3 linked regions of the Lytechinus pictus genome follow. The protein of the gene in region 3 interacts with the protein of the main gene of each other region in a pairwise test. Links are inferred from orthologs where the notes say so. Each region holds a gene or a part of one and is shown on either strand. Other genes may lie near its edges.

The links.
Region 1: the proteins of ubiquitin-conjugating enzyme E2 K-like (region 3) and RING finger protein 32-like interact in binary tests that used the Homo sapiens proteins (3 or more experiments, as listed by UniProt). The link is inferred for Lytechinus pictus from reciprocal best matches to the Homo sapiens genes UBE2K and RNF32.
Region 2: the proteins of ubiquitin-conjugating enzyme E2 K-like (region 3) and E3 ubiquitin-protein ligase TRAIP-like interact in binary tests that used the Homo sapiens proteins (3 or more experiments, as listed by UniProt). The link is inferred for Lytechinus pictus from reciprocal best matches to the Homo sapiens genes UBE2K and TRAIP.

The regions. Positions count from the first base shown.
Region 1 is NC_087247.1:20,142,206-20,146,770, reverse strand, and holds the start of RING finger protein 32-like, read left to right. Parts: upstream 1-1,406; 5' UTR 1,407-1,573; coding exon 1,574-1,636; intron 1,637-4,565. UniProt on the Homo sapiens protein: May play a role in sperm formation.
Region 2 is NC_087258.1:25,779,295-25,783,859, forward strand, and holds the start of E3 ubiquitin-protein ligase TRAIP-like, read left to right. Parts: upstream 1-1,318; 5' UTR 1,319-1,424; intron 1,425-4,565. UniProt on the Homo sapiens protein: E3 ubiquitin ligase required to protect genome stability in response to replication stress.
Region 3 is NC_087249.1:33,557,492-33,562,056, reverse strand, and holds the start of ubiquitin-conjugating enzyme E2 K-like, read left to right. Parts: upstream 1-1,310; coding exon 1,311-1,655; intron 1,656-3,668; coding exon 3,669-3,821; intron 3,822-4,565. UniProt on the Homo sapiens protein: Accepts ubiquitin from the E1 complex and catalyzes its covalent attachment to other proteins. In vitro, in the presence or in the absence of BRCA1-BARD1 E3 ubiquitin-protein ligase complex, catalyzes the synthesis of 'Lys-48'-linked polyubiquitin chains.

The sequences.
Region 1 (4,565 bases), on a different chromosome or scaffold from region 3:
ATATTTTAATGAATTTAATTCTGGCTTTGGAAAGTTCTATGAAGTAATATCAGTATCATGATCGTGACAGTATTTCGCTGTTTCTTTGTAATTCTTTTTTTTTGCAGGTTATTTTCAGAAATATTTAATTAGAATAAAAGAACATCTATATTTTGTATAAGAATCAGCGTGTACAACAATGATATCAAAATTATTTCAAAAAGATTATTTATTTAATGGTTGCTTTGCAAACAAATAAGGAGGCGCCAACTATAATGTTGACAAACGCATTGTACATGTGACAACTGCGAATCAAATTGAAATAGTGGAATTAATGTTAAGTGTTGAAAGTATGAAGATGGTTGAAGTTTAATGAAAAAATGTACACAAGTTAATTAAATTATTTGCAATATGTTTAAAAGTTAATAAAAGTTTTTCAAATGTATAAATGTTTACATTAATTCACACTGTTTAAATGAATTGTCTGACAACACTGTTGTACATCTTGAGAAAGCATTATACATGTAGTTGAATTTTTTAAAATTGAAAACTCTGTTCTCTACGGCATTATGCCATTATGTATAGAAGTTTTACTCTAGCTGTTGACCTGTTATATGGCAGTTATTCAATTTCATGATTGCATTTTTTTTTTATTAAAGTATTTCTTTAACATGTTCAGTACATTGATTTTGAACCCTGTTTTGTGATTGCATTGTTAGTGCTTGTTGATTGACTCAGTGAGTGATGTAAGGTGAAAGGAAGAGAAATAATGGGTCAAAGTCATGCAGTGTAGGTAATAAGCGATCCAAACCAATGGACTTGGGGAGGGTGTCACTTCCATTGAACAGCATCTACATGCATTGCCCTGAAAAAAAGTGCACCCTAAACACAGATTTGTGCACGTATATGACTTAGATTTGCTCAAACAGGGATTTCATGTCAATGCCATCACACAGCCTTCAATAGCGTTTTAGCTAGTGATTTAGGATTTTAGGGGGCTCAGTCTTTTTTCATTTTTCTATTTTTGACACTTTATTCATGTTCTGCGCCTAACTGCGAAAAATGCTACTCTTTATTGCTTTTTTTTCTCAAGGATGCTGTACCACTCTAATCAATGGCAAAGACCCCCCCCCCCCCCCCCCGATGCAACAAAATATGAGGAAAACAAACTGAAAGTAAGATTAGAAGGACACACACACACACACACTACTATTCTGAGAGGAAATTGGTAAGTGTAAGACAAGAAATTTGAAGAATGAATATATAAGAAGGGTGAAAAAAAAGTGGGAAAGATTGATGAATTGAAATTTATAAATGTATGGATATTAGGAGAAAAATTGTGTAATGTAAGTGAATCGAAAAAAACATTCAAAGCAAGTTACTGGACCAAATTGCTTCTGCACAGCCTATATTGTAAAAGACGATAGAGGGAGCTCCGATTTGGAGCGAGTGGAATAATTGATCGCTAAACAACGGTAAACAACGAATTGAGACTCCTATTAAGTTCTAACTAGTGAAGATCGAGACCTGACTATTAAAGTTCTGTGTATTTTATTTTTAATGTGATTTACCCGTAGTTCAACCTTACATCAAGATGGGGTCTCAGCATTACAGTAATTCACGTTTTAATGGAAACAATCCATCAAGACTGCCAAAGGTGAGCTGAGTTGTGCAATGTAGCGCGAAGTTGGTCTTTTTACTTTAATTAATTTAAGTCCCACATGTAGCAAATTGTGCTGTGGTCTCTGTTAGTGGCACTGGTAGGCCAGGCAAGGCTAGTTTTAGTTTAGATCACTCCTAGTACCAATGAGGTCCAAACATTAACATGTATGGAGCTCATAGGCGACATCACTAGTATTTTGGGTTAGGAATCTTTGGGAAGATGATATTTCTATTTTATATTTCAAGTACGAGCTATAGGCCCTAGCCCTAGGCCCTATTCTTAATCTAACATGCAATTTTATTTCAAGCCAGGGTACATATCACCTATAGTATGGGTACATTACCGCCGCCGTCCACAGGATAACCACTTGCACGGCACTTGCAATGCCTTTCGGGCTATATATTTTAAATTAGCAATATATATGGATTTAAGATCAGATAAGCTTTGGATATGAAACTTACAAAACGATATGAAGCCAATTTCAATTCCTCTCTGTCTTTCTGGTACTTTATATCGATGATTTTTCTTGATGTCGAAGCAGGCATGGCCCCGATTCGCTGGTTCTTTCTATACGCACAGAGAGGGCGCGCGATATTATTTAATAAACTTGCTTGTTTACGTCGTTTACGTCAGATCAGCTGTACTGCTGGCTGCGTTCTAGGCGCTCCGCATTTTTTTCGCTGTTCAGCGTTATTTTATGATGTAGCGCCATCAGCGATTATGCGTGACATGCAACCTGTTGATTTTTGGTACAATTTCCTATTATGCGCCGGCGACTTGAATCTAGACTGTTCGATAGGAAAAATTCGCATTTCGATTGTTGTTTGCGTAATTTCCACTGCAGTATTAAGGATCAGACGGAGTAACTGGCTGAGATTTGGAGGTAAGCGTTTAAAATCCATTTTTATAGATAAGTTCGTGCTGATTTTTAAAATTAGATTACATTATAAGATTAAGATGACTAAATTTAGTATATTGTGAAGATTTAGGCGTGTTTCATATTCTCCCATTCGTGAGATGAATGAAAACGTCAAAATTCATTATGAAATGACATGCGTTGTGCGAGGTTAGTACATGTATACTAACCTCGCATGTTGTGTGAGTGGGTACATATAAGTTGTTATCAACAACAAAAGAAATTGAAAGAAATAAAGGGGAACTTACATTTTGACGACTTTTTGCTGATTTTCTTGGCAGTTGCTCTTCACTTCTGCCTCGCGATCGAAGCTGATATGCAGATCACGTGATATGCGTTCTCGTCAGCTGATCGGTTGGTTATTCTTTTCGCCAGACGTTGATAATTATATATTTTATAATTATAGCATTCATCGCAAATTTAGGTGAAAGAGATTGAAGTTACACAGCGCAAGCTTTAATTAAAAAAAAAACAATGTTTAATTGATTGCACAGGTTTCGCCTCGGACATGTAGGATCATTTGGTCCCAAATTGGCGTAACGCGTAACTACGGGGGGGGGGGGGGGTGTCCCTACCACTACACCCACTAGCCAGCAATTCTCTTTTTTTCTCTTTTTTTAAACCAAAATACTCCCCCCCCCCAAAAAAAAAGGAACCAGGGTTAAAGAGAAAGAGAATTATGATAGAGGAACACAAAATACTTTATTTTTTTTCCGCTTTTACTGTTTAACGCGACTTATAATCAAATATTAAATGGGGCTTAGAACAGTTTTTTTAAAGTCAATTAATAAATATTCCTCCTCGGGATTTGAGCTTTCATGAAATATCAATCTTTTTCACGATTACTGAAAATACTTAAAATGTCCAAAATTTTTATTGGTATATAAAGCTTTAGCTCATGCGTTGCGCCCGCCTTATTTTAATGTTGAGATACAATTTTATGCTTTGAATGAATTCCTAAAAACATTCAATTCTCAGATCTTGTCGTAATCGAATGATTCGATTGGTAAGCTAATACATGATTAATAAGTTTCATGATTGTTTAAAATGTGTCTCTCTATCAGTTTTGAATATTTAAAAAAATGTCAGCTCGTGCTTTGAGCTCGCAATATTTTGATTAGTAAGATTCTTCTCTTGTATATGCGAGTTTGATAGATAGAGAGATAACTAGAGAGAGAGGGGGGTCCCTCAGCGGAACAGAGACCAAAGCTTTTGGTCTACTTGCGACCTGGCTTAGCCTTGGGTCCAATTTCATTAGCCAAACAAACTGAGGTAGAGTAACATGCCCAAGATTCGACATATGTTAACAATAACAGTGAGTTACAATTTCTGCAATTTATTTTGTTGTAAAATTTCTTTTCACAAAGTGATGTTTGTTAGATATATTTGTCTATTTTTAATTTCAATATTCATTTTCAGATTCCATCTCAATAATTCATATAATCTTAAAATTTATTGCCATGTTTCACGGCCGAGATTCGACATCCCCTGCCCTTCGTTCGACATATCGCATCGCGCGTTCAAAAGTCAATGCGTGCGACAATCTTTTGTTATTTTAGGTGGGGGGGGGTACGTATGGAAGTCTTTCCAAAAAATGAAATAATAATAAGAGGTTTTTATGCTATCTCTTTCCCATTTTGGGGGAAATGGAATTATTTTCATTACTCCATCTTATCCCCCTTTTTTGCATGTTCACAATTTATTTGAAAACCGCATTTATAATCACAACAAAGTCAATTGAATTTAAGCTGATAAAAGTATTAAAAAGAGAGAGCGATATTTTTCCAATTTAAATTTGACAAAGTATAGAAAGCTCTGCAATGGAGGGGGAAAAATCCCCCCTCATGCCACCCCCCCCCCCAAGCGCACCCCCTCCAAAATAAAATCTTGGCTATGATGTTGATAAGAGCTTCTGTCTGGGATAAGATTGTGCAATCTCAAAGGATGTCTAACAATCTCTGCTATAGGCCTACTGTATGTAAGCGTGCCTCACTGCTGTATTTATTG
Region 2 (4,565 bases), on a different chromosome or scaffold from region 3:
GACCACCTTGACTGAACTATATAGTATTAAACAATGCTAATTCCATATGTTCAGGGAGGAATTAATTGTTGTTTCCCTTGACGATGAAGAGAACATTAGAATATTTCATATTTCATAAAATGAAATACAAAAGAAATAGTGAGTGGATGATGTCATCAGTCTCCTCATTTGCATACCGACCAGGATGTGCATATAACTGTTTTGTGAAATTAAGCAAAAATTAAAAATGTCGTAACTTTCTTATTTTGCATCCGATTTTGATGAAATTTTCAGTGTTATGCTTGTTTAATTTTTCTCTTTTTATTCAAATTAACTTTTTGTTGGGGTGGACTTGTCCTTTAAAATGGGGCAATCACTTTAAGTAGCCATGAAAAAGAAGCATATGTCACTACATAAAACGATAATAATTCGAAGTGCGAGGAAATATATTTGGTGTATATTGACTTGAAAACGGGAGGTTTTATAGTAAAACAGGATTATATATCTTGTAAAACAGACAATGCGAGCACCAGGAACAATGAAGACATAGGCCCTACGCAAATTTTGTTTCATAAAGTTATGATATTTGAATGTAATATAACATAACATAATTATAATATAATTTAACATTATAATTAACAATAATTTCTTCTTACCCCACTACTTTTCTATCCCTTTCTCCCTCTTTTTCTTTTTTACCCGTTTTTTTTTTTGGGGGGGCCAGCCGATTCGGGGGGGGGGGGGGGGGGGGGGCACGTGCCCCCATGCCCCCCCCGTAGTTACGCCACTGATTGTTTAGAAAGAACAATAAAAAAACCCAAAAGAAATGGTCCCAGTTAGTGATCATTGACTCTCTCATTTACATATCACTTGTTAATTATAACTTTTTTTTGGTGAAAAATAAGATAAATTTTAAGAGAAATTTGTTTGATTTTTCTCCATTGATTAAAATCAACATTTTTTTATGGAGTGGACTTGATCGACCTTTAAGGGCCTTAAGGGTTCTTGGTTAATACTTACACACTTATAGTTTCGTAATCTGTCATGAATTTGAAATAGACCTATAATATTTAATCTTAATTATCCCCTAATAATTTGAAACTTGGTTTTGCCCATCAATCGTCATCCCGGGGGCATCGACCCAATATGTGGTAAATATCAGTGGCGCCTCCCTCCCACCCCAAGTTGAACACCAACTTGGCTCCCTTACAGAGGTTAAGATCAAATTGGCGACCCTATGCTGCTATGTTTATCCAATATTCCCCCCCCCCTTTCTATATATTTTTATCGACCCCCCCTCTCTCTGATGCGATGACGTTTGAAATTTTGCCATTTTATTTTTTACGTAAGTAATCAACGCCCTCTACGGTCATTATTTGCCCACCAAATTTGAGTCTTGTTTGATCGGCGGCGAAATATTAGGCAAAAATTAGACGAAAGAACCGGTAAGTATAGGTCTAGGATCAAGTTATTTTGTTTTAGAGGATAAAAATTGCAATGAACACATATAATAAGACAAGGACAAGGCCATATAAAGATGCAACAGACAGGGATGACAGACGAGCAAGTTGAGTTCGAGCCCGTCGCGGGCGGCTCGGGCTCGGGTCGCCGCGGCCGCGGCAGCTCAGGCGGTGCTAAGTCAAATAATATCGCGCGTTCGATCGAGGCGCCAATCATTTCTGTTTTTCGAATCAAAACTGGCTTTGTTTTGTTTTCTTTTGTTTTTCGATGGACTAAGTCAGGGAACCTTTCATGCCTTTTGCGATCATAATCATAAATACTGAGACAATACATGATCGAGAACTAGTAGAGTTTAGAAGATCTTATTCGGCGCTAGTGTAGTTTCGCACCTCCCCGTTTAATGGTTTTCAAACATGTACAATCTCACCCTAAATAATTCACAACCTAAAATACTTGCATCTGAGCCTCCAAAGTCCAGTAGAAGTTGAATATTTGCCGTTTTGACACTTTTTTTTACAAAGTTTTACACCTATTTTGGAATCACTCGGTCGCTTGAAGCTCAGCGCTGCACATAAGCAGTCGGTACGCGTACAGTACGTACCACCTAGTGAAGTGCAAGAAGAGCGAGTTTTTCTATGGTATCTTCAAAAAGATTTTTTCCCCTCTTTCAGCTTGCACCAAGTATTACGGTAGTGGTTGTGCAGAGTGGTTGATGTTTTTTGTGTGAAGGTGTGTGTGGGGTGTGCGTGTGTGTGATTGTTTGAATGAAATAAGAAATGTGAAAAGTGTGAATACACGTACTAGATTTAGCGATGAAATAAGAATGTACATAGTGCTGTAGCCGAACCGCCGAACCGAACGGTAGTTCGCCGAACATGGCACTTCCGAACCGAACAGAACCGAACCGAACACTAAGACTTGGTTCGGAAGTTCGGCAAAAAAAAAAAAAAAAACGGCTTTCAGCTTATAAATTTATAAGTTTACACCCTTTCTAATCATCATATTTGCGCATTCTCTATTTAATCTTCTTTGCAATTGTATGTTGGAAGTATGCGCTTATTTTGCGGTTACTAGATTTTGTTTTCATTTTCATGTTGACATTGTGGTTTTTACGGCCCTGATTAAGAAAGGAGATCCGATGAACGATGTTGCGCGAGCTTGCGCTATTATCATTTTACTGGCTTTCATCATCTCTCGCTCTGTGGCCGAATCGCCGAAGCATGGTAAAGAAAACCAAAACTGTATGAGTGTTCATTGGTTAAATCTAATTATCTAAAATATTGTTGTTTTTAGGTGGCGAACAAGATTCTTGTTTGAAAATCTTCAAAGTATTTTGAATGAACGAGCTCAATAAACTGAAAGTGAAAGATGAAGTACCATTAATATTACGAATTACGATACGATGTGATTAAGATCGTAACTCGTGTATTGTTGCGGCGGAGAATAAAGATCTGATTGAGGTGATTGACATTATTATTGAGGTGTCGGCTCGCTACTGTCTAGTTTTCATGATTTTAGAGAGAAGTAAAGAGTTTTGAAAACGGGAGATCCAGTGAAAGTGGGAAATAAAGTGAGTGACTGTTAGAGATGGAAAGGAGAGACGCAAAACAAATAATATAGAAATGAGATGAGGTGAAGTTATCTTTTTTATTATTAACAATCAGATGAAAATAAAAATCAAACACTCATGAATGATTACGGTATAGCATATAGCAAGATCCCCTTCCCCTCGTTGACAAGTTGAATGTAGATAAAGCCATGCGGAAACATTCATCTCTTGGGGGAAAATGACCCCCAATCTTTACTTTTTTTTCCTTTCTTATCAACTTCTCAAATTAACCATAAACAATGCGATGATCACTCTACTCCCCCTGTCCCATTGCAGTCGTAAAACTTTGCATCCCACTTGGTCTGTATGTTCATGGTCGAATGAAATCTGACCAATGAAATCATAGAAATCTCGGGAATTGCTCTTCAATCAGTGAGCTGAGTTTCGCGAGCAGACAAAGCACGTGGCTGTATGTACCGATGCGACAATCAGCGACATGCGATTGGTGGTTTAGTTCACCCATCGAGCCAATTAGCGAAAGGCGCATTACATAAGCACGCTTTCTTCGACACGCCCCTGGCCCTACTATGTCTACAGTTCAGTGCACTGGCGCTGGCCGCCTCGTATGTGATGCAATTGCCAATCACGTTTGGCCGGACTGTATAAATATTCATGAGCTCAGAGTGCCGCTACAAGGCCAAGGGGACTGAGCTGCATGCGCTGGCCTAGCCTAGCGCTAGCTGGTACGAGTGCGAGCGTTTGGCAAGTATCCAAAGTGTGGTCCAGGTATGGACGACTAGGAAGAGTCGCCATTTTAGAACTGTGAGATACCCAATAAATCTGTCATCAGATAATCAAATTCGTTGAGCGCTATAACTTTCATAGTTTCATGTCAACAAGATAGAGATAAAATGGTTTGATGTGACAGAGGTACACGCGAGCACATGCAGTCAATCAAGTACAAATTGTCTACCGGTACGCTACGTATACCTGAGCTGAATGAACTATAGCTTTATCAGCCTATCATTACCGAACCCCGAACCGAACCAATGTTCGGCAAATTTCTGCCGAACCTTGCCGAACCGAACCGAACCCGAACATGGCGCCTGACTTGCAGCACTAAATGTACAGCCTTCTTTTGAACTCTGAGAGTAATGACATACACGTAATATGATAACCTCCCTGCATGTAGTGAGTGTATGCGCATGCAAACAAAAGGATGAAATGTTCATTGCATGTCCCAGGTGGTATGGATGGAGATGGTACGGCGTGTGAAAAATTGAAAAATGTAATCTACTAGCATGAAATCAACATAGCATACAATCAACATAGCATACAGTTGTAAACTGAAGGAAAGTTCTCTGACCTAGAGTTCAAAACAAGGCACTACATTATTATTTCTTATTTCATCGCTAAATCTACGTGTATTCACATTTTCACATTTCTTATTTCATTCAAAAAATCACACACACGCACACCCCACACACATACCTTCACACAACAAACATCAACCACTCTGCACAACCACTACCGTAATACTTGGTGCAAGCTGAAAGAGGGGAAAAACCTTTTTGAA
Region 3 (4,565 bases):
GGCGACTGGTTCTTGCTTTTATAGATTTCAGTCTTCGTCCACTTCTTAATTGAATATACTGGCTATTCAGGGGGTGGGTTTGATCAGACATAATGGAGAGAGCTTTCGAAAGTCAACAGTGTTATTCATTATTTTGCTGGCTTGCTTAACAAGTCTTCTAAGCTTTATTTTATCTCTCTGTTTTGCGTTATTAAACCAGATGATTGAATCAAAAGTAATGATACTCTGGATGATCGACTGGTAAAATAGATACAGGATCCTATCATTTACATGGAAGTACTTTAACTTTCTGAGGAAATATAACCGTTGGTTGCATTTGGTCAAAGTGCATTTTGACTTTGCATCCCACGACAGTTTGCTGTCGATTCCCGTTCCTAAATATCTATAAACTTCAACATTGTCAATAATATCACCATTTATATGTACTGGTCTATCAGTGGGTTCAAAGGATTTCTTTTGCCTGAAGTCGAAGACAATTTCTTTTGTCTTCTTGGAGTTAACGAGTAAACAGTTTGCTTCACACCAATTTTCGAACGTATGGATAGTATCCATATAATCCAATTCATTTTCATTTTCAATTAATCCGACTATCACCGTATCATCTGCATATTTAAGTTTGTGAGTAGATGGGTTATATGATATACAGTCATTGGTGTATAGGGTGAAAAGGGTCGCAGAGAGAACACACCCTTGTGGAGTACCAATGGTTGTCGTTATTTCATCAGAGAGAATGCCGTTAACCCTAACCTTCTGTGTCCTTTCATGGAGAAAATCATGAAGCCACAGTATAAGAGATGGCTGACCATTTAGATTTTTCTACTTTTTCCAGGAGTATATGGGGTTCTTTAGTATTAAATGCTGATGAGAAATCTATAAAGGTTGCCCTAGCATATTAACATCTTGCCTTATGCACAACAAACAATTAGGGATCTTCTTCTTCCAGAGTAAGTGCTGCCTAGGTGATGAAGATAAATGCACTGGTTGTGTATGTACATGTATGTGTGGAACTTTTCACATTCTTATTAAAAGGTCTTGTTCTTGTAGTGCAGGTGCGTATATAGTAAGTAAAAGCATCCTTTGTGGTGTTTACTTCTGCACCCCAATCAAGAAGGCCTTGAAGGCATCAACAGAGGGTAATGGATTGGATCCTGTGGGAGATTGTTCCAGTCCTAAGTTACAGGTTAACTAGGGATTGGGAAGATGGAAGAATCATAGGTCTGACTGCTGCAGTGGGGTGTCCAAAATCGAGATCAGTGTCCCCTAGTTGCTTTTGACAGCTCACTGAAGAAGGACTGCCAGGTAATGTGAACATGATTGAAGCAGATACGTTACAGCAAAGCAAGCCACTGTCAAGACATCTGGTGAGTAACAATGGCCAGTTCAGGTTTTCGGTCGTTAGTCGTTACGCTGGATGTTTGGTTGAAGTCACCTGTGACGTAGCGTGCATGCCTTCGTTGTACCATTTCAAGCTTGTTTACATTCCACTGTGTGTCTCGGTCCCATGCTGTTGCAGCATATTCCACCATTGGGCATTCATATGTGAAGTATGTAGCCTTGATCTTGTGCCTACAGTGCTTAAATTTCCGTCATCGGATGGCGGTGACAGAATTCGCTTTCTTGACAGTATCCACATGACTGTTGAAGTTGAGTTTGTGGTAAATGTGGATACCAAGATACCTGGCAGAACTCACAAACTCTAGGTGATGCCATACCGGCCAAGAATCTGTTTCCTCTTGTTAGTGACTGTCAACGTTTGGCACTTAGAAGGGTGGAATTCCATCTACCACACATTCCCAACAGTCTCGAACATCCAGATATCATGTGTCTATTTGTAATCCAGTACTTGTTGGTACTGCTAGGATATACATTAAAAAATATTGAATTAATATAAACATATTTATTAGCTCTTACCCTTGTCTGACTTTCTTGTTCACCAGTGTGGTCAAAATCAAAATCTGTCATTTTGGGGTTTATTTCTGTGAGGCTCTCTATACGCCTACATTGTAGATCTAGTATTGGTGGAAAGTACAGGAACGGGTAACTGAAGTTTTATAATCAGTTTCATTAAAAAGTAGGATTTAAGCTGGCTAAGATACATGTATATGATGATTACACTGTACAAGAAAGTGTTTTGGCAAAATGTTTATTATTGACTCACGAGATGAAGAATAAGCAAAGAAGATCAATTGTCAAGCCTAGTTTAAACTTGTGCACCGTAGTATTACAGGACAAGGTTATATCTTTAAGTTATATATTAGATGGAATGATGGATGCATGTCTCCTAAAACTAGAGACTGTCTCTAAGTGTCAGGGGAGTATTTCATGAAAAGACTTGTTGGACAGTTACCATGGTAACAGTATAGCCTACATATATCGGGCTTTGTGAAATAGTGGGAGTTATTTATCCAAGGTTGGTCTGGCGATTACTATTTTTCCCTTGGGGTGAAGACCTGAGTGCAGAATAGTTATATTGCCAGTCAAACCAAGAATGCTTTCAAAGGAAATGCCTGTTATATTTGTCGTATTTCCTACTTTTAATGAATTAGAACCAAAATCGGTGCACTGAGTTTGCAGAGTCCGTTAACTTGCATTGAATGACCTACATGTACTTTCCCAAAGCTACCATGCTCAATGGAATGCTGATAGCGCTGACACATCACGGGAGAGGCAGCTTGCTGACCGGCGTACCAGAGAGATTAGCTACATGTAAATACCGGTATCTGCATGTAGTTTTCTCAAATAATGACATCAGAATATTGGTATATCGAAAATTATATTGAGGTCTAACGTCACAAATCATCATAGTTAGAATATATTTGGTTACATGATACTACATGTACATTGTATTTGAACCAATCACTATACAGGATTTATTTTAATGCTTATTATGCAAGCAAACATGTCGGATATAAATATTGATTAAATGCCCCAATATTTAAGGTCATTTGAGATGCTCCTAGGGGGCCATGCCCATAGGCTATCTCTTGTCAGGAAGTATACTGCTTGTTAATCCAGAAAAGAAGGCAATTTGAAGAATTTTGCAAGAAATATTTCATAAATTGTTTAGAAATAATGTACAATAGATCACAAAGGACAAATTTTGACAATTATTGCATATATGCTAAGCCTATAGATTTCCTCTTCTTATTAATCTGCCTCCAGTGTAAAAGATTCATTCAGATTTACTTAATTACAGACCATTAACTATAGAGCTGTCCAATGCGGATGTGCAGGTAAGAGTGTGTATCTTATCCATCCTGCAGGAGGTGTAATATTTCTTCAGTAGCCTACATGTATCTTACTGATTTTTCTGGAATGGACATACATGTAGATCACACACAAGTTATGACTTACTTGTAAGTAATGGAAGTTGAACCGGACTTTTGGGGGAGATTTTTATCAACATTTATTGTCTGCCAAGTTGTCAAATCTGAGACTTTCCTAGATAAGCCTATTGATTGGCTTAGAAGCACTGTTACTAGGGTAACTGGAATAAAGCAGACTTATCAGAAAAAAATGTCTGACAAATCCTTTCATGAAACACTCCCCAGAATGTGCTCCATGGTCATTACTTTTTTTATTTAAGGAGCCAAACTTTTTGTTCAGTAATATCATTGTTACTTTATTTATCTATTTTAGTTTTTCGTATCATTTTCCTTTCTTTGCAGGCTATTAAGAACCAGATCAAGATTGAATTTCCAATCAATGATTACTCCAAACTCCAAGGGGAGATCATAGGACCACCAGACACACCGTACCAGGGTGGTAAATTCAAGTTACACATCGAAGTCCCAGAGACGTACCCCTTCAATCCACCTCGTGTAAGCCTTTATTACCATAAAGTCCATCCATTTTCAGTTTAAGGATCTCATTTTTTGTTCATGTGCGAATGTGCCATCTAGCCAAGATACTTCTAGGGAAGAAATTTTGCTCTTATTTATATAAATGTTAATAGTCAAGACCAATTTTCCCTGTGTCAATTGATTGAAAAACAAGGAGATGTAGGACTTAGTAGTAGTAGTGATGATGGTGGTGGTGGTGGTAGAAGTAGTAGTTAGTAGTAGTAGTAGTAATAGTAGTACTGTAGTAGTAGTAGTAGTGGTGGTGGTGGTGGTGGTAGTCATGGGCGGAAATCTCAGGGGGGACAGGGGGAACACGTTCTCCCTACCAAAAAAAGTAGGAGGGACACAATATCAAATGTCCCCCCTACTATTTTTGTTTTTTTTATGATGGAAAGAAATACATCATTCAAAATCAAAATAAAACATGTAGTTTGGAAGAGATGACCTTACATTTGGGGTGATAACCATTTTTTTTGCTTGTCAAATTTTCCAGCCCCTGGTCCTCCCTACCTTTGGGGAGAGATCTCTACCCTTGGTGGTGGTAGTAGTAGTAGAAGTAGTTGTTGTAGTACTGTAATATAGTAGTAGGGGGCTCTGTGGTATTGTATTGCACTCTACATGTAATTATCGCATGAACAAATGGAAATTAATTGCAATCCATGAGTGCCATTTGTAAAGAAAATTATCTCACTTCATACACATACATGCATCTTTATAAGGCTG